Schizosaccharomyces pombe: one gene and its partner. Changing the gene in region 2 together with the main gene of any one other region gives a genetic interaction. Each region holds a gene or a part of one and is shown on either strand. Other genes may lie near its edges.

The links.
Region 1: mutations in kap114 (region 2) and ptn1 together harm fitness more than expected from each alone (negative genetic interaction), as found in Schizosaccharomyces pombe (one large-scale study listed by BioGRID).

Annotation. Positions count from the first base shown.
Region 1 is NC_003423.3:3,159,678-3,163,543, reverse strand, and holds ptn1 (phosphatidylinositol-3,4,5-trisphosphate3-phosphatase Ptn1), read right to left. Parts: upstream 1,816-3,866; 5' UTR 1,722-1,815; coding exon 675-1,721; 3' UTR 603-674; downstream 1-602. Other genes in the region: iqw1 (WD repeat-containing protein), read right to left, coding at 1-126, 173-266, 312-372; SPOM_SPBC609.01 (Dis3-like exonuclease family protein), read right to left, coding at 2,332-3,866. UniProt on the Schizosaccharomyces pombe protein: Acts as a phosphoinositide 3-phosphatase and regulates PtdIns(3,4,5)P3 levels.
Region 2 is NC_003424.3:2,372,410-2,378,344, forward strand, and holds kap114 (karyopherin/importin beta family nuclear import signal receptor Kap14), read right to left. Parts: upstream 4,144-5,935; 5' UTR 3,977-4,143; coding exon 3,871-3,976; intron 3,815-3,870; coding exon 1,593-3,814; intron 1,553-1,592; coding exon 1,383-1,552; intron 1,362-1,382; exon of another isoform or gene 1,336-1,361; coding exon 1,217-1,335; exon of another isoform or gene 1,175-1,216; coding exon 1,004-1,174; exon of another isoform or gene 968-1,003; coding exon 894-967; exon of another isoform or gene 855-893; coding exon 735-854; 3' UTR 643-734; downstream 1-642. Other genes in the region: ppa3 (protein phosphatase type 2A), read left to right, coding at 4,946-5,106, 5,173-5,243, 5,356-5,935. UniProt on the Schizosaccharomyces pombe protein: Required for nuclear protein import and mediates docking of import substrate to distinct nucleoporins. Serves a receptor for nuclear localization signals. Mediates the nuclear import of TATA-binding protein (TBP) and of histones H2A and H2B.

The DNA of each region.
Region 1 (3,866 bases), on a different chromosome or scaffold from region 2:
CTGAAGATATTTTGAACATGGCCAGTAGATATTAAATGCCGTGGCTTGTATTCATTGAAAACATCCCAGACAATTAGTCTTGTATCATCACTTCCTGATAACAAGAATTCACCGTCCGCGGACCAGCTGAAAATTGTAAGCATTGTAGAACAAATTGTTATAAAACACTTACTCTAGTGTATTAACACATCCCGTATGACCAGTTAATTCTTTCTGCAAATCTATACCGGTCAACCAAGTCGAATTGCCGTAGATATCTCGACTGACTAATAAACTAGTTAGCATCATTCAAAAACAAAACAAGAGCATACTTTTTCGCTGAAACCAATCTCTATAATCCAATTGACGCAAGGATAGTGATATCCCAGACATGAGAGTCAATTCAGCGATTAACAAGCGTTGGTGGAAGACAAGCTCAATTCAAGTGGATGTCGGTAATGTAGCCACGATGAGTTAATACCATAAATCGTAACTGCAAACTCGAATCTTAGAGTATAAGCCTTAAACTCAAACTCCTATGTTTTTTTTAAAATTTAAAAAAAAAACTTGAAGCGCCTCTGTAATTTACTGAAGTAGAAACACTTCAACATGTGAGTTTATTTCGATGATCGAAAGGAGGATCTAATTGCACAAATAATCATTTTATTTTACACTAATATAATATTTACAAAATATCAAAAAACATTTTCATATACAATTGTCAGTTGTTCGAAAAAGGGGTCACTTCGTCGGCTATTATCCATTTCAGACCAGGAGAACGAAATTGACTGTTGTCCTTGCAGAAAGGAATTTATACCTTGTTGAAAATTTATCCCGTTTGTGTATTCCACAAGCATAGGTTGAAAGTGAGTATGAAACCAACATTGCACACTCGAAGGAAAGTAAAACTGGCCCTTGCGTTCGACTCTGAGCAAAAGGTCTTTCTCCGATGTTTCTAGGTTGCATTGTATCCCCCATATACGTTTTCCTTCTTTTATGCTTACATTATGGGATGATATATCTGAACTCTTCCACAGAGCAACTGGATTTATGTTTCGTCCCTTAGAGAAGGCATGCAATGATAGAATCAAAGATGAATTTTTTTTAATATTCAAACATTTAAAACTTTTAAAAAAAGTGGTACCAGTATTAAATTCCACAGCTTTCAAATAATTCGGGAACTGTTTTAAAATTTCGATATAATAGACGTAACGTATTTGCGATGAAATGGTAAGACCGTGCCCTCGAACCATTCTTTTTTCAGTATATAGTTCAAGACTTTGCTTGGCTGTCAAGCCTCCGAAAGCTACCAAGTAGCTACATATTACAGTTCCTGTACGTCCTTTTCCGGCCTTACAATGAACTACCAATGTCAACAAAGGTTGCGTTTGAAAGAGTGCATCCATATTCATAACAATAGCCCATAAAAAGAGAAGCGGAGGTGGATTATGATCTTGAAATCCATAATTTATGACATTTGGTTTAAATAATTCCAAATGGTAAACTGTTTCTTCGGCACATAAATTCAACAATATCCAGTTGTCTTTCAATTGCGTTGTAAGATATTTAAATACATCCAATTCGTCGTTTCGATATAACTTATGTATTCCAGCAGCCGGTGTAGACATAGCAATTACCTTGGAAGTAATATAAACCATATCTAAGTAAGCAAAGCTACGATTCACTTTTTCTTGTTTGAGGCCTTTTCGACCCCTCGAAACTACTGATCGAAGTATATTCATGGAAAATTACATGTTTAATTAGTTATTTGTAATATACTAGGATAATACTGCAGATGCCGTTGACTGTTGAAATATGAGGTAAGCTGCACTGTTCAGAAGAAAATAAGAGAAATACAATAAAGATTTTAGTAATGAACTTTAAGCGGGTAGGTATCAACCATAGTGACGTGAATAAATAACTAATTTACTTTTAATTATTTATATATTTTGATAGCAATGATTTGATAATCCATTTTATTGAAAAAAACATAAGGGCATAACTTTTCCCTTTAAACGATGCAAAAGTATTACTAGTAAAAAAAAATAATAAAGAAATAAAAAAAAAAAAATGAGAAAAATGAATAAAAAAAGCCAATAAGAAATACAATCGTAAGACATGAACCGTAAATAAGCATTAAAATATTTTGATAAAAATCCTTAAAAACATTTAAGTCCACCAAAAAACAAACAAACCCATGCGATTATTCGAATCCTCTAAAATAAATCCAAAACGTTTAGGTAAAAAGAAATAAGTGGTAGAAGTATATAACGTTAGACATATGCAATTAATCATACATTAAAAATAAATCGTGAGGCATACACATTAGCGAAGATCACCAGTTATTGAAGATTAACTGGATAGAGGACTTTGTAAAGTAATTAACGAGAGTGAGTAAGTAGCGGAAGTATCAGCAAATATAAGTACACTAACCTCTTGGCCTGGACGGATGGTTTGAACAACCTCAGGCTCTTTCATACGTAAACTATGAAGTTTTCCATCTCCGGAAATATCCTGATTGCCAGAGGAACTTTTAGCTGTTTTACTAGTACTGTCATTGCCTCGAGCCTTTGAATAGAAAGACTCCTGGGACTCAGCAGCGTTAGCTAAATCCCGAACCTGTGCATCCATCATATCGCATATTTGTTTGCACATCCCGTTGGAATCCAAAAATTTTTTCTTAAAGTCATTGAAACAAGGTGTATCAATTTCCAAAGAAGATGAAGCATAAAAGAAAGAAGCATTTGTCCTCCATGATAAATAGAGTTCGTGTTTTTGCTCATTAAAGTCGCAGTTACTAAGCGGTAGCAGATCCAAGGAGATCCTTCTTTCCAAGCCAAATTCGTATATGACTATGTCAATATACTCCTGGTCAACAGCCAAAACAAAAGCCTTATGCTTAACGAGCCCAGATCGTAAATTAATAGAATGGAGAAGTTGACATAAATATGCATGTAGACTTTTTTCCTGGGCATTACGGTAGAAGTTGCTCAGTGTGTTACAAGACTGAGTTATAGAAAGTAAACTTCTGTAGTCTTTGGAAAAGTCTGGTCTGCCATCAAAGGCTTCGCGTAATTGTCTCTGTACACATATATCGATATATCTACGAGTAGGGTGACAAAAATGGGTGTAGTAAGGACAAGAGAACACAAAATGCGAAACATCCTTAGCATTTGAAGTACCGATAGTGTATTCAGATTCATTACACATTCTTCTTAGAGTCAATTGTAGTAACATTTTGGTTCTCTTATCCTTGGTAGTTGCAATTTCGGTCATGATTTCCGAAGGAGTAGATGAAGCAGATAAATTCACTCCGGTTAACTCAGAAACTGCAACAAGAGATGCAAAGTCAGAAGGTCTTTGATTTTTTCGCAAAATCACTTTACTGGGAAAAACAGACATTAAATGAGATGCAACTTTCTCGTTTACCCAATGTTCAATTTGTTGTAAAGAACATGCAATAGGGAATGCCTCAAAAATACTCATGTTAATATTCTGTATATTAGGAATCTGCCCATCGCAAAATTCAAAGCAGTATAAGGATTGTAAGTCAAGTTTCTTATCTGTTTTCAATCTTAGTTTGGTAAGGACATGGGCCGATGCATCAACTAGCTGAAGCGCTTCGTTGGTTTGCAAGTTTGCTTGTGCACTTTCTAAACTAATAAAACTTGACGGGTGGATTACAGAGGGCCCAAGGGAACACTGTAAAACAGCGCCGCTTTTCAAATCAAGCTGTACAACTATACTAATTGTTAAACAATCATGTCCCTCTATAAGGGAAATCTCTTCTGAGACCTTTTTCGGTAAAAAGGGTACGGAACCTTGCAACAATTGTACTTCTGATACTCTATTGGCAGCTTCATCATCAAGAGGCATATCTTGCTTAA
Region 2 (5,935 bases):
CGTGCCTTTGTGCATTTTTACGTATTTAAATTCTGGCATATCTTCTATTTCTGTTATTTAACTTATTTGTATATCATTGGTTGTTATCTGTTTTATGATTCTATGGTTGCACTGCATGCTTTTTACATATCCTTTGTTTTTAGTTTTCTTTTGACTATGGATTCCCTTGATTTTACGAAATAATCCCGTTCCTTTTTGTGACTTTTACCTTTCGGTAGCTTGCTGACCTGGTGTTTCTTGAATTTTTGCATAGATATACGGTGGCATATTTTAATGCCGATTTACCTAATTTTGTTCTTTTTCAGTCTTAATTATTTTCATATTGAAATGCTCATTTACTTGTGCCATATTAATCTCCAGATAAGACCTTATTTCATGCTCGTTTATCTGCACTTTGTTAATAATTACCATCATACTCTCTCCAATAAAATGGTAATTATTGGTATTATATAACCTTGTTTTTATGTTTATAATGAACTAAGTTTGTCTGTTTATTTTAATTTAAAAAATGTATCTTTTGAAAGAATTAATTTACCAACTTTATTCTTCATATACTTTAGTCCCTTTCAGCTTAAATAATCCTTTTGACCTTATACCTAGAGCCTTAAGTACTCTGAAAGGTATAATTTTACCCTACTTTCCTTTTAATGCACATGATATTAGTAAATGTTATAGTGCAAGTAAACTATTGGAAATCGTTCAGGTATTCTTGATTTTTTAAATCCTTTACACCTTTATTTTTCTTTAATTTGAACGAGCGCATCCTGTTCTTCCTGAGGTAGTCTAAAAACAACCTCGTTGATATTGTGCAGATTGCTTTTCATAGCTTCCTTAAAAAACTCTAGAAGATAAAACTAAAAATGTTAGCCCTAAAAACCAAAACTTTAACCCACCTGCAAATCAGTATTATCCTCATCTTCTGAATTGTCTACGCCAGAAAATTCATCTTTGGACAATTCGTTAACATCTATTGTTAGCCTTTTCTTTTAAAGGTCTCGCGTACCATTAGCTGATAGCCCAAACGTCTCTGCACTGATAGGACCGTCATCCCAATCATCCGCTCCATCATCGGAAACTTCTTCAACAATTGCATCTTTAGACAACGAAACAAATTCCTCTGAAAGTAGTCGCAATATTTTTTCTCCAACGCTTACATATGAATATTCCTCGGGATCTAGTTTTGGTTAATGAAAACTATCAAAAGCTTTTAACATACGAAGTTTAGACTGCGACCGGGTTATAATGCGATTAGAATGAGAGATAAGTTCACCTTTAACTTGAACTGAATCAAGTAGAGGACTGTCAAAAGAATAAATTTTAGTCATAGCAATACAACTTTCAGGTTAGAATTTATATAAGCATCAAATAATATAAGGACATACATTATAGAAATGTTTTTGAAGTTGCTAAAATAAACAAAGTTGTCACACCAAACGGTCATAAGTACTTCAAAAGCCGTTAGCCCTTGTTCATTTAATAAAGACGATGTCAAGAAGTGCATCATTCCCAAAGAGTCCTTAACAATTAATTTGGCAAAAACGTAAATTATACTCTAAATAAAAGTCAGAAACAGGTATTCAATAAGAACTTACTTGAATAAACCGTGGTTGTTCAGCTATTGCCAATCTCTTAATGCAAGAAAGAAGAATGGACTGAAGATCGACCATTTGACTTGCGTGATCAGCCAATTCAAGTAAGATAGGCCCAACTAAAAAGCAGGCGGAATCATCACTCTCTTTGTCAAGTAACTGATGCAAAATAAAAAGAATGTATTGAAAGCCACTACTACCTGAAATCTCCGTTTCCAATAATTGTGGTGTGTCCTTTTCCAAAAGCCCCTTAAGAATTTCCTGAGATAACTGAAGCAGTTCTGTGTCTCCAGAATGAATTTGAGTAATCTTATAAACAGGGGGCAAGACATATCCAACAAATCCATTAGGAAGTGGTGAAGGACCTGCACGAATCAAACAAGAAAGCAAGGTAGCCCCAATATTAACCATAATCGGGTCTTCTTGATTCAGGACCTGTAATAGTTCTGGCAAAGTAATTTCACACATACTTTCATAGTTATTTGCCGCATGGATAATGTCCTCAAAGGTGTCTTCAATAATTCCACAGATGTAAGGATCAGAAGCGTTCGTAGCAACCAAATTAAATAGAAGTGGAATAACAGAATTACCTAATTCAGCAGCCTTTGCACAATCAAGTTTTACCGCAGAAGAAATAGCTTCCACAAGTAATACAAGAGCTTCATCGCTTGACTTCGAAGCATACTGAGAAAGAACTTCCAAAATCATCGGCTGCAAAGAAAGTATCGGTTTGACTTTTCCGACTGAACAAAAGCGCTCAATAGCTTTCATAGCAGCATACTGTACAGTATCAACTTGTAAAGCATTAACCAAATTATTCATTATTATTTGGAAAAATTGAGAGGCTACTACGGTGCTTTCAGAGAAATATCCGATAAAGAGGAAAAACCTAGAAAGAAGTAAAATTGGAGCATCGGAGTAATCAATACGGACTTTGATAGCCTCGTATATGGGGTCCAAGTAATCATCATAAGTGTCATCTGAAGCAGCATCCACGGAACAACATGCATACAAGAGGGCTTCTTGATATATCCAATTGATTTCATTGTTTAATATGTAAGTCGCGGACATTTCTCGTAGACTTTGCTGGATTGGTAAAGTGGTATGCTCTTCAAATGCACTTAGTACGCTGATGGCGGCACCGCGAACCGTATCACTAGCAAAATCCATAGAAAATTCGTTTGCGATATATTCACTGACATCGCTTTCATATACTTCAATTTGATGCTTAGGTAGTTGCGTATATTGCACCAGAAGTGGAATGCAAGGAGGTAAAGGAGGTACGGGGACCGTATTACTGACAAACAAGTTTTGAACAAACTTGCTTTGCAAAGCTACAGAAACGAATAGCAGTAGTTCAACTAAATAACGAATAGGGTATTTATCACCAAATGCTGAATCATCTAAACCATCGCTAAAAACAACTTCTCGTATATATGGATCTAGTAACTTTTCTATAATATTCCAAACAAGTTCGACGAAGGTCACAACGTACGGTGTCAATTTAGAAGGAAACAATTCGCGAAGTTTTGTAAGAGTCATAGCAATTTCTCCCATGATACAAAAATAACCACAGGAATCAGGTAAAATAACTTGTCGATCATCAACGAGGGAAACTTCAAACTTGTGCGAGAACATATCCATCCAAGGGGGAAGTATTTGTTCAAGAAATACACGAACATGTTCAGCTTTCGTTTCTTTATAAATCTCAATAAGTTCTAGGCAAGAACGAAACAGTTTAATTCCTCTAGCTTGCAACATCCTCATGGAATCATTAGGGGGAGCGGAAAATATAAACTGATAGAGAATGGATGCAAGTTGAGGTGCAATAATAAAGAACTGTTCTTCAACAAGGGACTCATCTACAAGCTCGTCCAGAACATCCAGTGAAGCATTAATAGAGTTTTCATTAGTAGATTGTAAAAGATGCAGAACGGCCGGTACAACTTCTGGCCATTCATCGGGATAATCCACGTTTGCAATTAGAGAAACAGCATATGCCACAGCCTTGATTAAAGTGAAATTGTCAAGGCTCACTAAAAGATGTAATAGTGTTTCTCTGACATGTTTTTTGACATTTTCATCGGGTATCGGTCCATCTTGAAATTGCTCAAACAGTGGAGACCAATGGTGAACAATATATCTTTGTAAATAAATGAGAGAACCTTGTCTTAAAGGAACAGAAGCACCAGAAGATGCGATATCTGTTAACTTCGCAGCAAAATCTTCGTAAAAGATAGTTAGTAATTTTTTCGGTTAGTTTATAGCTTAAGTAGCATACCGTGATATTTCTCAAGGTCTCGTAACCCCAATTCGGCTTGTATTCTTGAATTAGGATCAGCAGATTGCACTTGTTCAAGCAGCTTAATGATTTTGCTTTCAACCATTTAGCGTGATAATAGACGTTAAACAATTGGTAGGTTTTGATGCTATCTGCTTAAAGAAAGTAGATAATAATAAATATATTTATGTACAGACGGGTATAGTTAACCCCTTAAAAATGGCTGTATTTAATAATTTTTTATGCAGGTATAATGCAGGTACTACTAAGAGTGAAATGTTACTAGGAAATTCATGTTCAAAGAAGTGGATGGTAAATAGGTGACATTGTCACTTAAATTGCTAATGTCTAACAAAATAGTGTTAATTGAAACAATAATTGCTTGTATTGTTGTTCATTTAAAAAAAAAATTAAAAAGAAAGGCCATGTAACTATTACTATTTTCATTCTTGATTTTCCTTATATTTTAATGTATTGCATAACTGAGTTTTTTAATGACCGACTGATCTTTGAATACAAGAATATACCTAATCAATTATCGCTTATTTTCAACCGAAATATTTATCTGATGGTCTGAAACGAGAGAAGCACTAAACCTTTTCAGCAGAAGAGACAGATATTCATATAGAATGTCTGAAAGAATTTTAACACGTTTTTCAAGCATTATGTAATTTTTGTTCTTTGGGTATACCATTAGAGGCTTTCTTAACTTAAAATCTCATTGGCGAACTACACAGTATTATGTATTAATCGTGTAGTTTCGATCACTGACAAGTCAGAAACCAACCTCCAAATTTCATAAAACTGACACATACAACATTTTAGTGGAATTTTTCTAATGCGTGCAAATAAAGAGAAGTAACGCGTAAGCTTTCCATATAAGAAGTGCTTAATCCTTTGTTTTTCGAAGCGTATCCGGTCAAAGCCGATTAGACTGATACAAACCTTGGGTGAAATTTTCCCTAGCCAAGCACTGTTTGTGTCTTCTTAAATTATATATATCCAATACAAAACGGTGCAAGACATTGTTTTTGTATTTTAATAAATCTCACTAGTTTCACGGAAATTCCTAAAGATGATTGACCTCGATAACATAATAGAGAGATTATATGAAAAACAATTGATTGCTGAGTCCGTTATTGCTTATCTTTGTTCTCTCGCAAAGGAAGTTTTAATGCAAGAAAGCAATGTTGTCAGGTTGTCTACTCCCATTACCGTGGTTGGTGATATTCATGGGTATGCATAGATTCAATATTGCAAAAAGTTCATTCTTTGTGGACATTCTGCTTACAAAGTATATAGCCAATTTGATGATCTACTTGAAATCTTTCGTATAGGAGGCCCATGCCCATACACAAACTATCTTTTTCTCGGTAAGTTAAAATGATGTTCATTAGAATCACATTAGCTGATTACTACAAATCATTAAAACTGAACATTGAGAACACAGCACATGCTTTATTATTCGTTGCTAACTATTTGAAGGTGATTATGTTGATCGGGGCTATTATAGTATAGAAACTATAACCCTTTTGATATGTCTCAAGTTACGGTATCCAAAGAGGATTACTCTTTTGCGCGGAAACCATGAGTCCAGAGGAATAACCCAAACCTATGGATTTTATTCAGAATGCTTAAGAAAATACGGTAATGCTAATGTTTGGAAATATTTTACCGATATCTTTGATTTCCTAACACTTTCTGCAACAATTGATGACACTATTTTTTGTGTTCATGGTGGACTTTCTCCTAGTATTCAGCACATAGATCAAATCCTTGTCTTAGACAGGTTTAGAGAATTCCCACACGAGGGACCTATGGCCGATCTCGTGTGGTCGGATCCGGATCCTAGCGTGCAAGAATTTTCACTTTCGCCCCGTGGTGCAGGTTTTTCTTTCGGTGAAGTTATTGTAACAAAATTTCTAGAATACAACAATATGAAGCACATCTTACGAGCTCATCAACTATGCAGCGAAGGTTATCAAATATTGTTTGAAAAAAAATTATCGACAGTGTGGTCTGCCCCAAATTACTGTTACAGATGTGCCAACTTGGCTAGCATCCT